Linked DNA regions of Pelodiscus sinensis. Each later gene encodes a partner of the first gene's protein in a complex. Links are inferred from orthologs where the notes say so. Each region holds a gene or a part of one and is shown in the gene's direction. Other genes may lie near its edges. The genes, in order: KPNA4, NFKB1 and RANBP3.

Region 1 (7,627 bases):
GGAGGTACAGGTAAATACAGCGGCTAAACCTGGCAAACTGGATCAGGCCTGCAGGCTGACATTTGCCCACTGCTGTGCTAGAATGAATCTATCTTTCAGTCCTGACTGCAGGATGAAGTAAATGAAAGTGACCACTAATAGGTGGGATCAACCCGACCAGAAGCTGTAAAGTTTTGGCCACATTAATAATGTTTCATGGCAGGAAGTCAAGGGCATGTAGCTCTGACCTTGCTGCAACTTCTTGACAAAGCTTTCTCCCTTCCCATCCCAGTTCATCTCATTTCTACCCTTCAGCACCAGCTCGCTGTAGGTCACTACTGTCTGGTACTGCAGTCAAGGTCATCCTATCCATAGGATGATTTGAGGCAGCCGCTCCTGGCCCTGTGCTTTGGGAGACCCTGTGACAGCTGCCCTGACTGTTTTATGGACATATTGAAGGGAGCCTGTGGTGCCATCAGCCTGGGGGATTACCAGAAGAGTATTGCATGCTCCAGCAGGTCACAGAGGACCTCGACGACGCTGATGGCATATACATCCGTTTTCGTCTCGACGGGAGCGTGTTCAACCTGAGGCGTTTGCAGGCCCACACAAAGACCATGGAGAAACTGATCAGGGAGCTGCTGTTTGCTGATGATGCCGCCCTCCTTGCTCACACAGAGGCAGCTATGCAGCGAATTACGTCTTGTTTCGCAAAAACTGCTCAGATCTTCGGTCTTGAAGTCAGCCTGAAGAAGACTGAAGTTCTTCATCAGCCCGCACCCCACGAGGAGCACCATCCACCAAGCATCTTCATTGAACAAACAGAACTGAAAGTTGTCCACCAGTTCAACTACTTGGGGTGCGTGATCTTGTCTGACGCCAAGATGGACAAAGAAGTCGATAACAGGCTGGCCAAGGCAAACAGTGCATTCGGCAGACTATACAAACGTGTCTGGAACAACAGTAACCTCAAAAGAGACATGAAGGTCAGCGTCTACAAAGCTGTTGTGCTGACCACTCTCTTGTATGGCGCTGAGTCCTGGGTCACGTACCGTAGTCACCTGAGTCTCCTCGAGCGTTTCCATCAGCGCTGCCTCCGCACAATCCTCAATATTCATTGGAGTGACTTCGTCGCCAACACTGAAGTCCTCGAGTTAGCGGAGGTCACCAGCATCGAGGCCATGGTCCTCAAGATACAGCTTCGCTGGGCAGGGCACATCACCAGGATGGAGAACCATCGCCTACCCAAGATCGTGCTGTATGGGGAACTGTCCTCTGGCTACCGCGACATAGGGGCACCACGAAAGCGGTACAAAGACTCCCTGAAGAAGTCCCTCACTGCTTGCTGTATCGATCACCATCAGTGGGCAACACAAGCAGCTGATTGCAACTCCTGGCGGCACACAGTCCACCTCCTTCTTCGAAGATACCCGCAGGGCCTGTATGGAGGACAAAAGGAGAAGGAAGAAGAACCGTGACCCCTCAGCACCTATCTCGGATCAGACCTATATTTGCAACCGTTGTGGCAGGACCTGCCTGTCCCGCATAGGCCTCGTCAGCCACCAGCGTGCCTGCAGAAGATGTGGATTTCCTAGATCTTCGTTCGCGAAGTCAAGCCACGATTGCATGGTGCAACAGCAGCCACCAGGCCTCCCACACTTACCATGGCGGCAGAAGCCTGGGAAGCAGAGTGAAGCAGACGGGAGCTTGTACTACTGTCATCTCCCAGCTGGGTTGTTCTTCTTAACTGCAGTGGTAGAAAACAAAGTGCTCCAGCCCCAGCTTGCTCTATTCCCCTAAGTGATGCAGAGTTCTGGGAAGCAAAGTAGATCGGGATGCTCCACTTCTCAGGCTCCTGCTGCCATGGTGAGTATGAGGGAGTGTCACGTTATTGGATTTTAGGGTGAGGAGGCAGATCATTGTTGCACCCACTAGTGTGTTTGCTCCAAATTCTGTACGAAGTGGGCCGTGTAAGGTGTCAAATGAAAGCTTATGTTATGCTGACCAGTATGTTATTCATATGCTGGTATGATTATTGTATGTATGTTATGGATACAGGCTCTGTATTTGTATTTAAATGTTCTCCATCTGAGAGGCAGCAATGGACTTCCATGACATATTGTGAGGAGTGGTTATCCAATGAATGGCTGTGCTAATTAGCAATGCTGCATAGACAGAGGCTCTCAAGGTTGCCAATACACGTGAGGAATGCATTTGGAAACTTGCAAATGAGCAAGTCTATCATGGCTACTTGCATGAAAGACAAAGAAAGGTCACTTGATCATGTGACAAATGCCAGTTTGGGAGGCACTAGGAATACAAAAGTACCATGAGGGCATCTCCATCTTGTCTTCAATCTTGCTCCTGATTCCAGAAGCATCCTTGCTAGGGACAGAGAACCAGGAAGGATTTGTTGACCCATCCTGACACAGGATGTACACCAGAGTCTTTTAAGTTAGCAGTTTGTAACATCTCTGCTAAGAGCCTGCATCAAGAACTTGGTGATTGATGTATGTAATGTATTCTCTTTAACAATCTCACTCTCAACCCTTTTCTTTCATTAATAAACCTTTACGGTGCGTTTAGACTGGCAAAAACTTCCCAGCTATCTATACTGGCAGCTTGAATTTGCGCAACAGCACTGACGTTCCAATGTAAGAATTCAGTGCTTCTTGCACAAATTTTTTGACGCCCCCACTCAGGGATAAGCCCTCTTGTACAAGAATACTTGCGCAAGAGGGCCAGTGTAGACAGGCACCTTAATTTTTTGCGCAAGAAAGCTCAATGGCTAAAATGGCCATCGGAGCTTTCTTGCGCAAAAGCGAGTCTATATTGGGCACGGATGCTTTTGCGCAAAAGCACTTTTTGCACTAAAGCATCCGTGCCAATCTAGATGCTCTTTTGCGGAAATACTTTTAACAGAAAAACTTTTCCGTTAAAAGTATTTCCGCAGAATCATGCCAGTCTAGACACAGCCTTAGATTTTAGATTCTAAAGGATTGGCATTGTGTGCTCTTTTGGGTAAGATCTGAGATATAAATTGACCTGGGACTGTGACTGGTCCTTTGAGACTGGGAGAACCTGTTTGGAGTTGGTGAGATTGGGTTTTATAACCTCTCACCTATGTATGTGGATCTGACTGTTGCAGAGGGAACGCTGGGGTGTCTAAGAGGTTTTGCCTTGTGAGGTTTCTTGCTGGCCAAACAGGGCACTGAAGTGCTCTTTGTGACTGGTCTGGTGCCTTTATAGGGAAGGACCTCACTCTTGGGCTGTAAATTGCTCTGGTTCTAAAAGAATCGCTCTAATCCAATACTCTCTCAGCAGTGACTAGACTGAATCGTTATATTACAGAGGAGGGAGCGACCCGTTGCCACTCCGTGCTACACTCCCTCATAATCCCTTGGGTCACATAGCTCTGGGAAGGGGACTTCGGGAAAGAGGTATAAACAGGACTGGAGGAGGCAAAGCAGGGGTGGAACTTGCGGTGAATCCTGGTGAAGCACAAGGAAATCCAGCCCTGAGGATGCCATCCTACCTTGGCCCCGCCCCAGCTCCCTCCTCTCTACTGTGTAGTTGCGTATTGCCTGGCTGGTATACACACTCACCCAGTGATGATAATAAAACGTAATTAGAAAATACCAGACATTTATATGTCCAGTATTTTCTCAATTTGTTTCCCAGACAGAAAGGTCAAAACTGGACATCTGGCAACCCTAGTTGTTTTTTTTTAAGTTTTTTTTCCCCACTTACAGACTAACATAGCTACCTCTGAGACTTCTTAGCCCTAGTCACCCAACTGGGCTCAAGGTATCTACTGACTCCAAGGAACTCCTATTCCAGTCTCACATGAATCCCACCGTGACTGAAGGAGGTGGACTGGGGGGTGCACAGTTGATGGGGAGGTAGATGCAGACACAAGAAGCGATTCAGCGTTAGGAAAAAGAAGCAGCAGTGAAAGCTGAGCGCCCCTACCCTGGTGCTGGTTTCTGCACGAGTGCAGGGCGAGAAACGCAGAGAAACCTCTTGTTAACAGCTACAGAGAATACTAAGCCAGCAGCTGCTAGCCCCTGCAGCCTCCTTCCCCCAGCAGCGGTCTCGTGCCCCGAGAAGCCTCCACAGCCCCCAGCGTCTGCGCAGCAGCCGAGGGGGAGGGAGGAAGGCGGTGACGCACGTTGTTGTCGACTTTCAGTTGTGTCAACAACGGCAGCAGCCGCTGCCGGAAAGGGCGGGCAGGGCGCCCCTCGGCTCTAACAGCGTGGGGCGCAAAATGGCTGCCCGGCGCAGGGGTCAGGGGGGCACCCCGCTGGCTGCCGTGAAGGAAACTCCATCTCCCTGCCTGCCCTCGGCGCCTCGTCCTACCCTGTCCCCTGCTCGCCACCGCCCCGCTCTCCTCCCACAGCGCGGCCCTCCCTCCACGCTCGTCTCTCCCATTCGCCGCCGGCCCGCCCCTCCCCAGCCAATCGGAGGGCGCGGCAGAGAGGGGTGGGCGTAGCCTCGGCCAGCTCCTGCTAGATCGAGGCTACCTCCTCCTTTCCCCCGCCCTCGGCTCTGTCCCTTTGCTGGTTACCGGCACATTCCGGCGCCCAGGCAGCCGGAGCTCGCGAGCGGCCGGAAGGAAGGAAGGCAGGAAGTGCGGAGGCGGCAGTGGCGGCCTAGTGGCGCAGGCCGCAGCGCGGACGGGAAGAGAGTGCGAGTGAGCGAGGCGGCGGCGGCGCCGGGCAGGGGATCCCGGCAGGCCCGGGAGGAGGCCGCGCTCCTTCTCTCCCGCCATGGCCGACAACGAGAAACTGGATAATCAACGGCTGAAGAACTTCAAGAACAAAGGCCGCGACCTGGAGGTAGCTCCCACAGCACCCCGCGGGAAGGGCCGGGCATGGCGGCGGGACTGGGCCGCCGAGCTCTGGCGTCTCTCCTAATCCCCCTTCCGGCACAACCGCCTTCCTGCTGCTGCATCAGCCGAGGGCCTGCTCCGAGGCTGAGGCCTGCTCCGCCGCTGTGGAGGGGAGGGAGTGTCTTCCCCTTTCTCCTCACGAGGGCAGGGGCGCTACTTGGGTGGGGTGGGCGGACGGACGAGCTGAGTGAGCCCTGCGTTTCCCCTGCCGGGAAGAGGCTGCCTTTCCTTCCCACCCTCGGACAGCTTTGGGGCTGAGGGCGGCTGCCCGCCCGGAGTGGGGAGTGTCTGCACTGACAGCGGAGTTAACGCCTTTCGGCATTTCCCTTCTGTGGCTATCTCCCTTGGTTTTGCTGTACACCAGGGAGAGGAGCGGGGAGGACGCTGACGGGTGTGTGGCTATGAGGCACGGGGGTCTTTGTCGTCATTTTCTCTGTAAGAAACTGGTGGCTATTGACATGAACGGAGTTCTGCTGACTGTTAGCCCTTCCTAGTACGGGTTATGTTTTTTTCTTCAGAGTATCTGCAGGCCAGTACATAGTTGAAATGCAAAATATAAACTGATGGAATTAACATAAGTGCAGCTACAGCACTATAGAAACAGTCAAGTGCAGTCTAATATATTTTTGTACAACCTCACTTTGGTTTGGCACTGTTGCAATAGGGGGTCAAGTACCATCAGTCATCCACTTCCCAGATAGTAATGAAAACCGTTTTGGTTTATAGCTTGGCTAACACATTCAGGTTATGGCTTTTCCCAGTTATGGCAGTGAAGGCCAAAGAAGACCCTTATTGGAAAATGTCCTGCAGTTGGTCCTCCTTTGATGCAGCAGTTCCCACAGCTTAACAATTTCATATGGGACAGAGACAGTTAGTCAAGTAAGCAAGTCCTATGCAATTCATGTTTTTTTCATAAAGCAGTCTCTAAAGTCAGCACCTTGAACTCCACACAAACTTCTGGGAGCCAGGTAAGATCCCAGAACACTGGCATAATGTATTAGCTGCATAAAAAACCACTTAAGTGGGTCTTTGTGTTCTGCTCTAACTTCAGTTTCTGAATGGGTTTAAGATGTGGTAGAGCATAGTGTAATCTAATGTTGAGATGACACAAAGGCATGAAGAACTTGGCTTTTGAAAGTAAAGGATGGAGTTGCTCTCTTTCACTGATTGGCATGGGGAAGGAATCTTTTCTACCTGTGCATGAAGGAATAATCCAGGATCCAACATCTAGGTTTTGAACTCGGTTGAGTATATCGGTATAACTTTACCTGAAATGTTTGGGATTGACAGATAATGAAAGAGAGAGTAAAGCATGCAGGAAATAAAAGATTAGTTTAATATTAAAGGACTTAGTTAAATGGGGTTCTGCTGTCTTTGTGTAAAAGTACCTTCCCCGTTGAGCTGTTTGCTGGCTGCTCTCCAAATACTAAAAACAAAAGCACAGGGTGTATTATAATTCCAGAAGTGGTGCTGTGAAGGTTTTTATTTAAAACAAACCTCATACTTCATTCTCTTCTGTATATTATTTTATATGGAAAAGTATAATGCAAAGTTCTCTTAAATCACTGCTGTGTTGGATGCCTAAACTTTGCATTTTAATGTAGGTTCTCTAAACTCATACTATACATTAGGGATGTGAATGACTAGTCAACTGTCCGATAAGCAAGTGGGAGAGAGGAAGAAAAGGGGATGGTTCAAAGTGGCAGTGCTGCATAGGGCCCAGGCCAGACCTTGGGCTCTACGCGGAGCTGCTGCTTTGAAACGCCGTGCAGCCCAGGGCTAGCTGGGGACTCCCCTGCTGACCCCAGGCTCCATGCGGCGCTGCCACTTTGAAATACTGCAGGGAGCTTGGGGTCAATGGGGGACTGCTTGAGTCCCCTGCTGGCCCCATGTTCCCCGCAGTGCTTTCACTTTTAAAGTGTAGCAACAATCCTGGTGCTGTTACTACACTTCAGAAGTGGAGATGCCCTTATTGATTACTGGAATAGTCAATGCAAATTGCACCGACTACTGGATTAGCCCATTAATCTAAATTTAACATCCCTGCTATACATATGTTAATCCTGAATCCTTCCCACAAAAATAAGACTTTTATAATTTGGATGATAGCCTGTTTAGTTTTAGTTATTGATGAAATTTTAAAGACACACACTGATTTGAAGATCACCCTCTTAAGAGAGGACTTTTTTCCTATATTTGTTTCAAGTAACCTGTAAGATAACTATTATTGAAACCATTTGAAAATATTTCTCCTGCCTTCTTTGTTTTTAGGCATTTTATAGGCATTATTTTTCTTGTTTGAGAGAAACATTTTAAAATAAAACCAAAAAATTTGGCTGAGGTCTTACTGACATATGTAATACTGTAGAGTTTATTACCTTTAAACATTATTGTATTTCTGGTAGGCTATGTGCCATCCATGTGTTTTTTGGTTTGCTGTTAAGGTAGCATTTTGCAAAATGAAAACATTGTTAAGCTGTTAAGTCTTGTTAAATTTTAGAGACTGACATCTCTCTAACAGATCTTGGAACATATGCTCAGTACTTAAAATAACTACTGTGGATGATCATTTTTCAAATAGTAGCTCAGGCTTGTGTGACTATCATTCTGATTCATTGTTTATACATCACATTTTTTCATTACAGCATGAAATATTGGTAATGGCTGTATTTAGTCAAGCTTTAGCAACAGTTGATTTTTTTTATCTTGCATTTTTGCAGAAAAAAACCTCTTCCCTTCACATAAATCAGTATTTGA
Region 2 (6,959 bases), on another chromosome or scaffold:
TCATGGGGACAGATGCCTAAGCTCACGGGGCCTGCAGGGAGATGCCTATTTCTGTTAGTAATCCATGTGTCCAGTTTTCAACTGGAACATCTGGTTGAAAAGGGGACCCAACAGCCAATTACTGGAAGCAGGGAGGCGCTGGGCCATCACTCATGTCAGCCCCTACTTGGCCAGGACTGCCGGCTGCCTGCTACTTGCATCAGGTGGCTACAGCTAATACTCTGGTTCCACAGGTGAGTCCCTTTGACCCAGATGGTGGGTGATGGGGGCGGGGGGAAGCAATGTGTGTTGGGGAAAGTGAAGAGTAATAGGGTAGGACCTCCAAAAGGGAATGAGCAGGGCCAGGCCGGTTCTAGTAGTCCTGCTGGAGTGTCCAGTTTTTAAAACAGGTGTGTGTGTGTGGGCACAAAGGCATGTCCCTCAAACGGGGGGGGCAAGGGACCAGCAGCCAGTGGGGCCAGAGAGCAGAGTCCTAGCTGCCGCCCAAGCCTTGGCTGCCAACCCCGCACATCCTGCAACCCTGTATGTGTCCCCCTTCCCAGAGACACGGCCCCACTCTGGGCCCCAGCAAGGAGGGATGGAAGCTTGGAGGAATGAACAGGGCAGGTATGGAAAGAAGCAGGGTAGGAGCGGGACCTGGAGTGGATGTGGGGTTTGTCCCAAGCCTAGGGACAGTGGCCTGGCGAGGAGTCATGGGGGGAGACAGTCACTTGGCCGATGTTCCTTTTGTGGCCCTCCCCATCAGTTAACTCTGTTTTAATCATTAACCAAGTTGGCAGCTCTAGGGAACTCCATGAATGGGAACTCTCTGGAAGTTGGGGTGGTGTTGGGGCATTAGTTAACTGCCTTGTTCTGTAAAAAGCAAGAGTTGGTGGTGGTATTTCTGCTGCTTCCCACCTTCTAACTTTTATTCCCAGGCTTAAAGTTCTCATTTGGGAGATGGGAGACACAACCTTAAGAAAGGATTTTAATAGGAGAGTGCCTGAGTTATGGGATACTCTGATGTGTTGCTCCTTTATAGTGTCTCCTGCTGAAGTTGTACCTCCGTGGATACATAATTAGGGAGTGCTTGGAAATAGGAAGGACTGAACCCTGTGTCTCTCCTCCCAGGTGAGTGCCCTACCCACTAGAGAGTCATTCTTGCTCAGCTTTTAATGGTCTGAGTCAGACACAGATGAGAAGTGGGCTGCTCAGGATGTGCCCTAGCTTGCAAAGGTGCAAATGAGGGTTGTGAGACAGCTGTCTTGAACCACACTAGTAGGGCTACTGAACATGGTCCATTATTAATCATGGTCCAGTGAGAACAAGTACTGAGGGTATAGCAGGCTAGTGAACTAGCAAGAATGTGACCTCAATGAACTCTATGACAAAAAATCCCTTTATTTCAGTGGCAGAAGGGTTAAATAGTAAATTGATCACCAGCAAAAAAAAGGGATCATAGTCTAGTCTCTAGCTTCTAAAGAACAGACTAGAATCCTATTTATTCCCAAGCTTGTTGTGACACTACTTGCCTTATGAACTTTCTCTCCATAAGATATTTGCTTGTGATGCACTGTTTTTTCACTGTGACTCTTTTGGAAATGTGGTGCTGTACGCTTTGAGATCATACTGTAAATTATGTTAAATGAAGGAACAGCCGGAGCTGGATTGTTAAGTGAAAGCAGCCCAGACTGTTTTTTCTGAGTAGTCCCCATCATTTGTATGGAAGATTTTCTGGACCCCATGGGAAGCCAATCAACTGGCGCTGCCTCGCAGATTTATAGTTAAATCTGCAATGAGAATGAGTACATGTACTGTATATGTGTGCAACACAGAATTTAACATTATTTACTGTAGAGCATTTATTAAATTGTGTGAGAATCATTATGAATATATTATAATATCCATCAACATTCTAAAAAACCTTTGGGACCCATCAATAGGAAAGACAGAAATTACAATATGCAGCACCGAAATTAGTTCCACCTCCACCAGAATCTCAGACCATAACAGCAAGAAAAACAAATATGACCTGCCAAACTAGTTGCCCCTCATTCTCCTGTACATCAGAAAAAACAACAACCATTGCATAAAGCAACGTGGGTTCTTTCATGCTGCTCTTTGAATTGTTCAGTTTAGCACAGATTGCCAGAATGTTACAAAGTTCTATTAACATTTCCGTGTGTGTGTCAGGATGTTCTTTTTCTTGTCTCACCAGAGTTTCCTTTCCATTAAAACACTCCTCCATGTACTGGTCATCTCTTACCTTCTTTGAAACCTTCTCTCTGGTCTATCAGCTGTTTTTCTTGCGCCTCTTTAGTCCATTCAAAAGGCTGTTGCTATCATTTTTATTATTTGTATTATCATAACATCACAGATAGGTGACTAGGATCCAATTTCATTGGCAGCTGTACAAGCACAGAAAAAAGACAGTTACTAAAATATTTTCCTTTTTCCATTATTCTCTTACCACTCAACATGCTACTGCTCTGTTCAGATTCCTTCACTGGCTCCCATTTGCCTTGATTTAATGTTTTTTTTAAACAGCAAACAAACTAGGACCTGATTCTTCATTGCCTTACCCCTTATGTACACTTTGTACTTCCAAATCAAAATGACCATGTATTACACCCACTATGCCGAATGTGAATGACTATACAAGGTCAAAGGGAGTGGATAACCAGATCTTATCCTTTGCAACCAATCTTCTACAGAACTCCCTCTCCATTAAAATGTCTATCCACCTCTAGCATATTCAACCCCTCCAAGAGTATTGTGAAGTCTCCAGGAATTAAAGATTGTTATATGATGAAACCTCCAAGAATATGTCCAATCAAAACTGGCAACCTTATTCACAATTTTATTCATATAGCTTTCCTGCTTCAGTTCCGGCTTAGGTGAAGAGTAGTAGCTAGCTATAAAGAACAGTGTACTATCAGACGGAAGGCGATTTTGCCTTTACCCACTAGCAAAAACTCTCAGCTCCTATTGGCTGGAACCCTACATTTTAGACTTATATTGAACTTCCTACAGAGACTTGGGCCCAATTCTCTTCCCTTGGTAGCTTTGGTGTATTATTTAACATAGGCCAGCCAACCTGTGGCTCTGAGGTCCGAGATGCTATGCAAGCATATAGAAAAGGAGGATGGATGCCTCAAGAGCTTTGCTTTTGCTGAGTGGCTGTTTTCAAGACCCTGTTAATCAAATAATCTACTTTTAACTGCTACGGGATAACGACTGGAACCGATAAACTGATGTTAGCAACAATGGGAATTTTCGGTAAAAATACAAGGTTCCCGTATTCAACTATCTCCCTCTAGATTGGACGATTTTTCTCTCTGTCCATGGGTGTAGCCCCTGCTTCCATGGAGGACAGATCCTGCTCTCTAAGGATTTGTTACAAGTTTCTTCCTGGAAGGGAGAGAGCAGTTTGTCTCTAGCACATATGGTCGGTGTTAGGGGTAGCAAGCAGGGCAGTTGCCTAAGAAGCTAAGTTATAGGTGGTGGGGCTCATGGTGGAGGCCCACTCCTTGGTTTCTGCCCTTGGTCCCAGTGAGTCTAACACTGGCCCTGCTGGGGGTGTGTCTGGGTTGGGAGAAGATTTTGCTTTGTGTATTTCACTAAGGTGCAGTGTAAATTCCTCGGGATTAGGGCAGCCCTTGGCTAGTGTGTATCTCCGTTGTACTGCCCCATGGGCCACTAGCCTGTCTAGTCTCCCTGGCTGCCACTGTAATACAAGTAATAAAGCTGAATGTTTCCACAAAGCTTCCCCAACTCAAATCCTCGCTCCCAGCTGGTTCCACAGCAAAGCCCTGCCCTGGCTCCGCCTGTTAGAAGGCAGCAGTGACCTGCGCTCCCCACAGGCACCCCTGGAGCGCCTTGTTCTCGTGCGCAGCCTCCCCACCCTTCCGCGGCGGCTGCCGCCGCTTCGCTCTCGAAACGTCAGTGGGAATTTCCAGCCAGGAAGGAAGTGAGAGCAGCAGCAGCAGGGGAGGGACGGAGAGAGAGTCAGAGGAGGCTGCTGGTGCGAAAGGGCAGCTGCTGACAGGTCCGTGGGACGGAGCCGCCCGGGGCGCACGCCCAAACAAGGGGGAAAACCCCGCCGCGCGGCGGCTGCACAGGAGAGGAGGACTAGGCGGCCGCTCCGCTTCGCAGCCTGGTTTACATGGCGCCGCGCTGACTCCGGCAAAAGGCGGCGGCAAGCGGCAGCGAAGCGCAAGGCAGAGCGGCTGCCCGGAGCGGGGCTCGCCCTCCCTGCCGGAGCACCGGGGCGCGTCCCGCCCGGAGGAGGAGCGGGGCTAAGGGGGAGACTCCGGCGTGAGGGTGAGCACGGAATTCGGTGTCGGGTCTTTGGCGGGGCCGGAGTCCCTCTGGTGCCTTTTTAAACCTTCGCCAGCTGGTTCACTTCCTCCTTCCTGGTCGGGCTGCCCGTCCGTCGTGCCTGTGAAACGGCTTGAGCTTCACGCCTGTCAGGTGCAGCGCGGCGTGGCCGAAGCGGTACCACTGCGGAGTGACTCCGGATTGGTAGAGCTGACAGCAGATTTTGGCCTCATTGGGTTTGTAATGAAAAAAAGAAGCTGATTGGGAGTGTATGGGTTGGGGAGGGGTGTGAGGGAGAAGAATAATGTTTTCTATTGAAATTTCACCTTTCTTCCTGAAAGCCCCTCTGGCCTTGTTCTGTCTCTCTCCTGCCACTGTCCAGCTCTCTCTTGGGTGAAGGGTGGTAGCCTGCTATAAAGTTCAGTGTGCTGTCAGGTGAGGCGATTTTGGCAAAGGGCAAGGAAGCAGACCCCACTTCTTTTGACACTTGGCATGGCAACTTTCATAACAACTGTACAGCTGTCAACAGAGAATTGACAGAACATGATTACAGTGAAACCTTTGTTATCTGGCACTCTGTTAACCAGAAAACTTTGGTAACCAGCATTGCCCCCAGCCACAATATTGTCACATCAGCAGGTGCACAGGCCTGGCTTGGTTTACCACGATTGGCTTAACAATTTTTTATTTAAGAAGTACTAATCATCTTCAACTCAAAATAGAAATGTGAGACCAACTGCCTCACACTATAAAACTACCAATGTTAAAAACTTGAGTTTTACTATTATTGTCCATTGGGTTTTCCTGGGTTGATGGGACCCTCAGATAACCGGAATTTTTAGATAACCAGAACACCCTAATCCCTGAGCATGCCAGATAACACAGGTTTTACTGTATTGAGATAAGATCTTATCCAAAAGACTGATATGCAGTAAATGGGACAGAGCTATTTTTCCATGGTGGAGCTGGATGGCTATTAGCTTTAAAAGCAAACAAAAGAGAAAAGAAGGGGAATTATTGGTAAAACCCTCTGTGCAGGTCCAAAGCAGTAGGTGCCCAGCAGGTGTTGCCTGTGCTAAGACTAGAGCCCATGTGGCTTGGCATACTGTACAGTAGCGTACTGAACCCTAGGTGGGATTACAAAATGAGAGCTCAGGTGTAGCATGTTTCTTGTTCTGAAAACCTCATTGCGTCCAAGTGTAGGCCCCTTACCTGTACAGGGGAGTCCGTCAATATGATTCATTTACTCTCTTTCCTGTTTTTCTTCATCATTGATTTATGGAGTCACTGGATTGGAAATGGAGTGTTACTGGTCACTTCACTAGGCTTTTAATAAAGTGTGATCCTTAGATGTTGTGTGGTGGATATTCTTTAAAGGATGACTGTCCACTTGATTTTTTTTCAATTGTGCAAATTCAAACATTCCAGTTTCTGTTAGAGCCATTTTAAATTTCATGCTTTGATATTTTTGTTAAAGAAAAACTCAAAATATTTTTTTCTACTCTTTTATTAATGTTTGTGAAGGGTTGTAAGCCAGGGAGAAGCTGACTCTACATAAAATACTAAAAGGAGGGAGAGATTTTTTTAAAACTTTGTCAGGATTTTTGTAATTACAGAAGAGGCTCAAAATTTCAGTGTTAAAATACAGCAATTTTCAAATGTCCCTTTGATTTCACATGTGAAATTCCCTCTTTATCTGAAAGAAAATCAAGTTTTCTACTATTTTGCATTGGTTGGGTTCTCTTAAAAACTATAAAACAATATAATCCTGTAAAGATTTTTTCTGATACTTTCAGTAATGCCATTCTAAATATAGGGAATACTACAGCAGACTTAAATACTTTCAAAAGCAGTAAATGGAATATTCAGTACTAAATGATGAAAATGAAATTGCAACGGATGGAAAATAATAGCTAATTAATTTTGTTACATTTTTCTCTAAAACTAAGAGGATTTAACTCTCCATTGTTTTTCATTGAGTGATATTTGTTGACATGAATGAAAGGAGGATTATTAAGTTACTGTCTTCATGTGAACAAAAAAAAGTATATAGTTTCTGCAAAAAATGGAGACTGCATTAAGGTGAATTACAATTTGTGGCCTTGATTCTCACCTCCCCCCCCCCCCCCAAATGCTTCTGTGTATGAGTAACTTTACCCACACAAGGGTAAGTAAATACACATGTAAGAGTTTTCAGGATTGATGTTTTACATATTAAGTATTGCTATTGGATTAACAAGACATTTCAGTATTCAATTTAAAAATGGTAACTCTTAAAAGGCACTAGTCTTTGTTAAAACTTACACACACTTACTAAAATGTAAAGTTTGAGAGGAAAATTATAGATAACACAAATAGACAAATTTAAGTCCTTTTTATCTCTCTTTCTTCCAAACAAGAGCAATCTGAGATAATACTAAAGGGTTTGATGTTCCAGTCCAGTATCCCAGATGTGCAGCAATGTCACTTCATAAAATTGATATAATGGGTGAAGAATGTGACCGTTTTGTTTTCAATTCTGAGATTATTTGAATCTTAGTGTGAATTTGTTTACTTTTCTAAATATTCTGCTAGCCAAAGAAGGATTATTTTTTTCTGGTTTAGAGCCACACTTTTGTAATTTGAAAAGAAAAAGGGGGGGGGGGAGGAGGAGATTATTG
Region 3 (7,301 bases), on another chromosome or scaffold:
AGTGAGGGTGAAGAGGAAGAGGCTACATGGGATGTGGCCCAGGGAATAGCAACAAGAAGCAACTATTAAAGGAAGCAAGATGTGATTTCTACTTGTAGAGTCCCTGGGTTGGGAGTAGTGGGTGTGTCTGGATTCCCTCACAGGCGTGGTGAAGTGGCCTATGTCCTGAGGAGAAGATAAAGCTTGATTAGAGGCTCAAGTGAAAGTATTTAAGGGACACCAGAGAACAGCTAAAGGCTAAGATCTCCAGGGAGGAAGTCCTGAGTGTGCTGGTTTATAATGTGGTAGGGATAGATTTAAAGCCAGTCCAGAAGGGGCTAAGAACCTAACCCAGGGTAGAATAACAGTTCCAACAAGGGCATTATGATAGGCGTTGTTGAACCTTTGCTACTCTGGAAGGGAGTCATCCATTTTAGACTATGTGTGTCAGCCAAAGGAAAGAGCCCCTGAAGATTCACCTGATGAGGGCAACAACTGATAGAGCAGGGCTACTCAACTTTGGAAGCTCCAAGGGTCACAATGATACTCACAGAACATGCCGAAGGCCGCAACTTAAGTGTGGTTGCATATTTCGCATTGACAGGCATGAATACAAAGGTCAAGGCAAGATTGCACAAAACACAGGCCCCATTTAAGTCAGTTCTGCTGATATTAATAAAATGCAATATTTACCCGATTTCCATCCATATGACAGCTAGGGTTGCCAGATGGTTTAACCAAAAATACAGACCCCCGCTCTCCCCCAAAAAAACACCGGGAAAAAAATTCTGTTGAGAAAATAAAAGGACAGCAGTTATTAAAAAATAAAAATCAGCATGGCCCATTTAAGAAGAGGCTTTTTTGCCGGTGGCCATTTTGTTTTTCTGCCAGGCACAAGACAAGCCCCTGCAGAACCAGGTAAGTGGGGGAGCCTGGCAGAAGGGAGGCGGGGGGCTGGGCCCAATTGCTGAGTGAGTTGCCAGGTGTCCGGTATTTTCGCCTCCTGGCAGGGAAATGTTTTTTTAGGTGTTTGGTATTTTCTGAATTTTTTTACCGGACAGGAGGTGAAAATACCAGACTGTCTGGATCAATACCGGACACCTGGCAACTCTAATGACAGTATTTTAAATTCCTGGACTGTCATTGCTCATTAAACTACTAAAACACATATCAACAGAAGACCATTATATTGCCTACTTTCTTGTTTTGGCTCCCACCCGCGGGCCACATGTTAAATCCCCGCTTCATTAGCAATTGCAATACGTCTAATTTACATCCCTTTTCCGAAAAAGGGATGTAGTCTAGACGTAGCCACAGGCTGTGGGCCACATGAAGAGCCCTATAATAGAGGATACTTTGAGCACAGAAATAGTGAGGGTTCACATCCATCCAACAGGGGGTGCTCACAAGAGGTTAGTGTGCCCCATCAGAAAGCCCATTCTCCTTCTGTTCATCCTACCACTGCTCTGGGAGTACCCATGTATTCCCACTGTAGTGGCTCCTGTTGCTATTAGTCTAATAGTGGTGTGAGTCTGGCCTAGAATGTGTGCTTAGCTGCTATTTTGACAGGCTGACAAATTTCCCTGAGGAACAGGAGGGAAAGAAAATGGTGATTTCATTGTGTATCTCAGCAATACCTGATATTTGTTCTCCCTGCCAAATACCTGCTGCAAACAATGGAAGTGAAGAACAGATCACAAAAATTCTTCATAATGGAAAGTGTCAGCTTCCCCAACCCCTATAATACAGTAAACTTCCAATAATCTGGCACCTTTAGGACCCAAGGGGTGCCGGATTATCAAATATGCTGGACTATCAGAAGGGGGGGGGGGCATAAGGGGTCTGGGGCGGAGTGTGGGGGATGTGCCCCTCGGCGCTGCAGGACCAACCCAGCAGCACCCCAGCTGCTCTGCCCCAGGTGTCCCCAAGTCAGCCGCTGCTGAAACTGACCAGTGACTGACTCGAGGAAGCCCGGGGCAGAGCAGCTGGGGTACTGCCGGGTTGGTCCCGCAGCGCCGAGGGGTGGTGCTAGGGGACCAACCCGGCAGCACCCCAGCTGCTCTGCCCCCGGCGTCCCCAAGTCAGATGCTGCTGAAACTGACCAGCAGCTGACTCCGGGAAGCCTGGGGTAGAGCTGCTCTGCCTCCGGCTTCCTGGAGTCAGCCGCTGGTCAATTTCAGCAGCGGCTGAATCAGGGAAGCCGGGGGCAGAGCAGCTCCAATTGTCCGGCTGCCCTGAGCACTTCTGGGTTCCAGATGGTGCCAGACCATCAGGAGTGTGGGACCATTGGATGCTGGACCACTGGAGTTTTACTGTAGTTAAATTTTGTGTGAATTTAGAACCAAATAATCTTCCCAGCTCCTAACCTGATACCTCTGTTGTGGGATAGGGATGATCAGAGGACAAATGGGAGAGAAAGCCTCCTTTTCAGGCCACTGGTCTGACCAGTAGCTTTGTAGTTACTCATTCAAAGAGTTGGAACAGTCTCTATGGCTGTTGCTCACCCCTTTTATGGAGAAGACAAACTTCTGTCTAGTTCAAACCTTCCACTAGCTGTAACAGAAGCACTGTTTCAACAAGGACATCAAAGTTTGTACCAAGGATATTTAATTCCTTGAAACGTGACCTCCTGAAATCTCATCCCCGTACTGCTGAGTTCAGTGAACCTTGGGGGGGATAGATATTTGGCTATGTGTGTGTGTGTTCCCTCTGTGTGCCATCTCAGCTCTGTACAGACAATTGGAACATAGGCCAGGATTATTGTTAATGAAGCACAATAATAGCATTTGGCAGACTCTACGGCTGTGTCTACACTGGCATCCCTTTCCAGAAAAGGGATGCTAATGAGACACTTCGGAATTGCAAATCCGCGGGGTTTTTGCCGGAGAAAAGCGCCAGTGTAGACGCGATTTTCCGGAAAATAAGCCCTTTTCCGGGATATCCCTTATTCCTACTTTCAAGGAATTCAAGGACTGAGGCGGCGGAAAGGGGGCTGTGGAGGAGGGTGGCGGTGATGGACTGAGGCGGCGGGAAGGGGGCTGTGGAGGAGGGTGGCGGTGATGGACTGAGGCGGCGGGAAGGGGGCTGTGGAGGAGGGTGTCGGTGATGGACTGAGGCGGCGGGAAGGGGGCTGTGGAGGAGGGTGGCGGTGAAGGACTGAGGCGGCGGGAAGGGGGCTGTGGAGGAGGGTGGCGGTGAAGGGCTGAGGCGGCGGGAAGGGGGCTGTGGAGGAGGGTGGGGGTGAAGGACTGAGGGGGCGGGAAGGGGGCTGTGGAGGAGGGTGGGGGTGAAGGACTGAGGGGGCGGGAAGGGGGCTGTGGAGGAGGGTGGCGGTGAAGGGCTGAGGCGGCGGGAAGGGGGCTGTGGAGGAGGGTGGGGGTGAAGGACTGAGGGGGCGGGAAGGGGGCTGTGGAGGAGGGTGGGGGTGAAGGACTGAGGGGGCGGGAAGGGGGCTGTGGAGGAGGGTGGCGGTGAAGGGCTGAGGCGGCGGGAAGGGGGCTGTGGAGGAGGGTGGGGGTGAAGGACTGAGGGGGCGGGAAGGGGGCTGTGAAGGAGGGTGGGGGTGAAGGACTGAGGGGGCGGGAAGGGGGCTGTGGAGGAGGGTGTCGGTGATGGACTGAGGCGACGGGAAGGGGGCTGTGGAGCAGGGTGTCGGTGATGGACTGAGGCGGCGGGAAGGGGGCAGTTGAGGGGGGTGGCGGTGAAGGACTGAGGGGGCTGGAAGGGGGTAGTTGAGGAGGGTGGCGGTGATGGACTGAGGGGGTGGGAAGGGGGCTGTGGAGGAGGGTGGCGGTGATGGACTGAGGGGGTGGGAAGGGGGCTGTGGAGGAGGGTGGCGGTGAAGGACTGAGGGGGCTGGAAGGGGGCAGTTGAGGGGGGTGGCGGTGATGGACTGAGGCGGCGGGAAGGGGGCAGTTGAGGGGGGTGGCGGTGATGGACTGAGGTGGCGGGAAGGGGGCAGTTGAGGGGGGTGGCGGTGAAGGGCTGAGGCGGCGGGAAGGGGGCAGTTGAGGGGGGTGGCGGTGAAGGGCTGAGGCGGCGGGAAGGGGGCTGTGGAGGAGGGTGGCGGTGAAGGACTGAGGGGGGTGGGGGGTGGGAACGAGGCAGTAAGGGCTGACAGGTCTGGAGCCGGGTGCTCACACCCCTGAGCCACCGCCCCCAACCTCCCGACGCGGGGGGAAGGGACAATGCTTTGTTGTCACAGGTGGGTTTTATGAAATGTGGCGCGTGCAGTTGTGCGCATGCCCCGTGAGGCTCCTGCAGCGCTGACTCCGCTCCCCTCACCCAAGAGGCTCTGCTAGTCCTGCAACGGGCGGAGCGGGTGGGTTTGGCGCAGGCGCACTGTTTGTCTAACCGCGAGCGGCGGAACGAAGCCTTTGCTTTTAGCGCATGCGTACTAAACCCTGTGAGGCGGAAGGGAGTTAAAAAAAAAAAAAGAAACGTTCTTCGGAGCATGCGCAGTCTCTCCCGCTTGACGGCGGGAGAGCCCCTCCCTTGCGGGACACTGCGCGCATGCGCCGCCGCGCTGTGTCTGTTGTAAATCGGAGGCCGGCCGGCCGCGCGATGCACTGTGGGAGTGATTGAGGAAGTAAAATGGCGGATTTAGCGAACGAAGGTAGGGGGGGATGTGGCCGTTATCGCGGTTGTGCGGAGGCGGGGTTTGGGCCGCGGGCCGAAGCAGGCCTGGCATTCGCCTCAGGAAGAGCTCCACGGGCCCCGTAGGGGAGTTGCTCCTCCCTGCCGCCTGCCTCAGTGCCGGCCACCGCAGGGGAACGGACTGGACAAAGGGAGAGGCTGGGCCTAAGTGGGGCCGTCTTGTTTCCCCGCCCCCCAGTCCGGGGGGAGCCGACCGACACCCGCCCTGCAGCGAGCACCTTGGGGGGCATCGGCGTGAGCATGGGGGTGACGGAAGTGGGGCTGGGCGTGGGCCCGGGCCTGTCGGTGCAGGCTGTGCGGGCCAGGCGCTAAGAGAGAGGCGTGTGTTATTTATTACTGCCCAGCGTCAGGAGCAAAGCTACTCCTTTCCTGCTGCAGCCTTCAGCGTGGGACAGAACCGCATCCCTTTGTAAAAACAGGGAGGAGTCCTGTGACACCTTAAAGACTAACAGATTTATTTGGGTATAAGCACTTGTGGTCAAGGGCCCCCTTCCTCAAGCTGCATGTCTTTGCCCAGAAAAGCTTATGCCTGAGCAAACCGGTTCATCTTTAAATTATCACAGGGCTCCTTGTTTTTTGTGGATACAGACTAACACAGCTACTCCTCTGATTCCTGTCAAATCCTTTTCTAGTGAGCCTATCTAGCTTGGCAGGTACATACCCTGTGTGTGTTCCGAATGTGAACAGAGCATCCCTCTATGTTCCCATTAGTCACCTTATTTTGTTCATGGTGAAAAACTGTGAGGCAATGGTGGCAAAGGAAGAGACCTGTGGGAGCTGCCTCTTGTTTAATTATCACTTGAACCCCAAAATGTGAAAAGCAAGCTCAGTATTTCTCTTTCCTGTTTGGGGCTAGGTGCCTCCTTATATGTCACCCCTTTTTATGCAGTGTTCAGGTAGCATGTCCCTTCTTGGCATGCCTATTTAAGGGAGCTGTAAAATTCCCATTGTTAATGCTGTGTATTTATGTCTAGCAGTTGGCTAAGAATATGCCTTGCAAGATTAGAGAAAATTTAGGTATCTTTTGTATAGCCATAATTTTGTGAGGGCAGGGAAATTGGTTTTATTAATTCTTCCTTGGGAGCTTTAAGAGAGAATGGCATACCATGTAGAGGTCCTAGGCTTTATCTACACTGGCACTTACCCAAATGACACAAGTTTTCCAATAAATGTGGAAAACCTTGCCCCCTAACACCCAAACAAAAATGTGGAAAACCTTGCCTTCCACCACCCAAACAAAAAACAATTAATTGATGAAAAGTGTCTGCTTGCATAGTGCTTTGTTCAGTGGGACCTTTGCTTGTTGGAGGTGGTTTTACTTTGTCACTGGAAAACATCTCTCCCAGCAGTAAAGAGTGGCCACTCAGTGCACCTTATAACTATGCAGATTCAGCACTGCTATAAGGTGTGTTGTGTAGACATAGTTTTAATGTGTATCTCCCAAGTGGAAGATAGACAGAAAACTTTCATAACATGAAAGAGTTGGGGCTCTTGTACATTTGAAAAGCAGAATCGCAGCAGAAGCAGCGCTAGTAGAGAATGCTTCAGTCCCTGCTTGCACCATTGCCAGTGTGCTTTTATCTCCCCTGTCCCCCTCAGAGATGGTGCTGGGGGAAACTGGCTTTCACGCTGGCTTCCCCCCAACATCATCTCCTGCTTCCCCCCCTTGCTGCCTGCCTCTGATAGAGGCTGCAACAAAGTCATTCTCTTATCCTGTCACATTCTCCTTGCATCCTTTCATTGGCTTCCTCTTCTCTGTTGCCTCAAACAAAATTTACTTATGTTTACCTTCAAGGCCCTTCATGGTGTGTTCCCACCACACCAGTCATCTCACATTGACTGACATGTAGATTTACACTTTTGATTAGCCATGATGCCAGCCTCCATCACACACTCATTAAAAGATTAAAATAAGACCTTTGTGCCTTCTTCCATACTTTTCCTCATGCTCAGAGGAACTCCTTGTAAATATGCGCTAAGTTATCCCATTAATCTCATTCAGAATTCTCTTTGAGATTCTCCTTTCAGTGTACAAAACTTTTGACATCTTTTAGGCCGCTGAGAGGCCTGAGGCAACTGCCTATCGTGTCCAATTTTGCCTTGCAGTTTCCTTGCACCCCTCTGTCTATATCTATTTTGGCTTATCTTATACTTAGGTTGTAAGTTCTTTAGGGGTAGGGTCTGTTGTTTTGTTTTGTATTTATTCAGTGCCTAATATAATGGGGTTTTCTTCCATGACTATTGCTTCTAGGTACTACCATAATGTCTCTTTTTTGAGATAACTGGATTAGTCCTCATCAACACTTATTTTCATGAATTCTCCTCTAACAAACTTTCCAGATTGATTTGTATGAAGATGCTTGTGATAGGAAGCAGTATAGCTTTCCATGGTACTTTATAACTACGTCCCTTTATTTTAAATTTAAATTGAGTTTTACTAAACTCTCCTGCATTTTATAAAAACTATTAATTTTTTCCAATTTTCACCCTGCTTTTGTATTCTTGGAAATAAATTGCATGAATATATCTATTATGATAATATGCAGGGCTTGACAAATCTGTGTATCTACTCGCCCATGGCGAGTAGATTACAGTGGTCGCCCCGTTCACTGGTGGTGCGCGCATGTGCAGTGCAGGTCTGGCGCATGTGCGGGGCTGGTGAGTGG

What was found.
Region 2: the proteins of KPNA4 (region 1) and NFKB1 are in contact, whole or in part, in a crystal structure (PDB 7LFC), measured with the Homo sapiens proteins. The link is inferred for Pelodiscus sinensis from reciprocal best matches to the Homo sapiens genes KPNA4 and NFKB1. Residues at the interface, in NP_002259.1 of Homo sapiens: Arg96, Lys97, Leu99, Ser100, Ser101, Asp102, Arg103, Pro105, Phe133, Trp137, Thr140, Asn141, Ala143, Ser144, Gly145, Thr146, Ser147, Thr150, Gln176, Trp179, Gly182, Asn183, Gly186, Asp187, Asn219, Trp222, Val225, Asn226, Arg229, His230; in NP_001158884.1 of Homo sapiens: Glu357, Glu358, Val359, Gln360, Arg361, Lys362, Arg363, Gln364, Lys365, Leu366, Met367.
Region 3: the proteins of KPNA4 (region 1) and RANBP3 are in contact, whole or in part, in a crystal structure (PDB 5XZX), measured with the Homo sapiens proteins. The link is inferred for Pelodiscus sinensis from reciprocal best matches to the Homo sapiens genes KPNA4 and RANBP3. Residues at the interface, in NP_002259.1 of Homo sapiens: Arg96, Leu99, Ser100, Asp102, Arg103, Pro105, Phe133, Trp137, Thr140, Asn141, Ala143, Ser144, Gly145, Thr146, Ser147, Thr150, Glu175, Gln176, Trp179, Gly182, Asn183, Gly186, Asp187, Asn219, Trp222, Val225, Asn226, Arg229, Asp261, Trp264; in NP_015561.1 of Homo sapiens: Asn114, Tyr115, Cys116, Pro117, Pro118, Val119, Lys120, Arg121, Glu122, Arg123, Thr124, Ser125, Leu127.

What each region holds. Positions count from the first base shown.
Region 1 is NC_134720.1:33,022,944-33,030,570, reverse strand, and holds the start of KPNA4 (importin subunit alpha-3), read left to right. Parts: upstream 1-4,561; 5' UTR 4,562-4,748; coding exon 4,749-4,817; intron 4,818-7,627. UniProt on the Homo sapiens protein: Functions in nuclear protein import as an adapter protein for nuclear receptor KPNB1. Binds specifically and directly to substrates containing either a simple or bipartite NLS motif.
Region 2 is NC_134715.1:24,941,842-24,948,800, forward strand, and holds the start of NFKB1 (nuclear factor NF-kappa-B p105 subunit), read left to right. Parts: upstream 1-3,938; 5' UTR 3,939-4,302; intron 4,303-6,959.
Region 3 is NC_134729.1:21,071,913-21,079,213, reverse strand, and holds the start of RANBP3 (ran-binding protein 3), read left to right. Parts: upstream 1-4,271; 5' UTR 4,272-4,572; coding exon 4,573-4,594; intron 4,595-7,301. UniProt on the Homo sapiens protein: Acts as a cofactor for XPO1/CRM1-mediated nuclear export, perhaps as export complex scaffolding protein. Bound to XPO1/CRM1, stabilizes the XPO1/CRM1-cargo interaction. In the absence of Ran-bound GTP prevents binding of XPO1/CRM1 to the nuclear pore complex.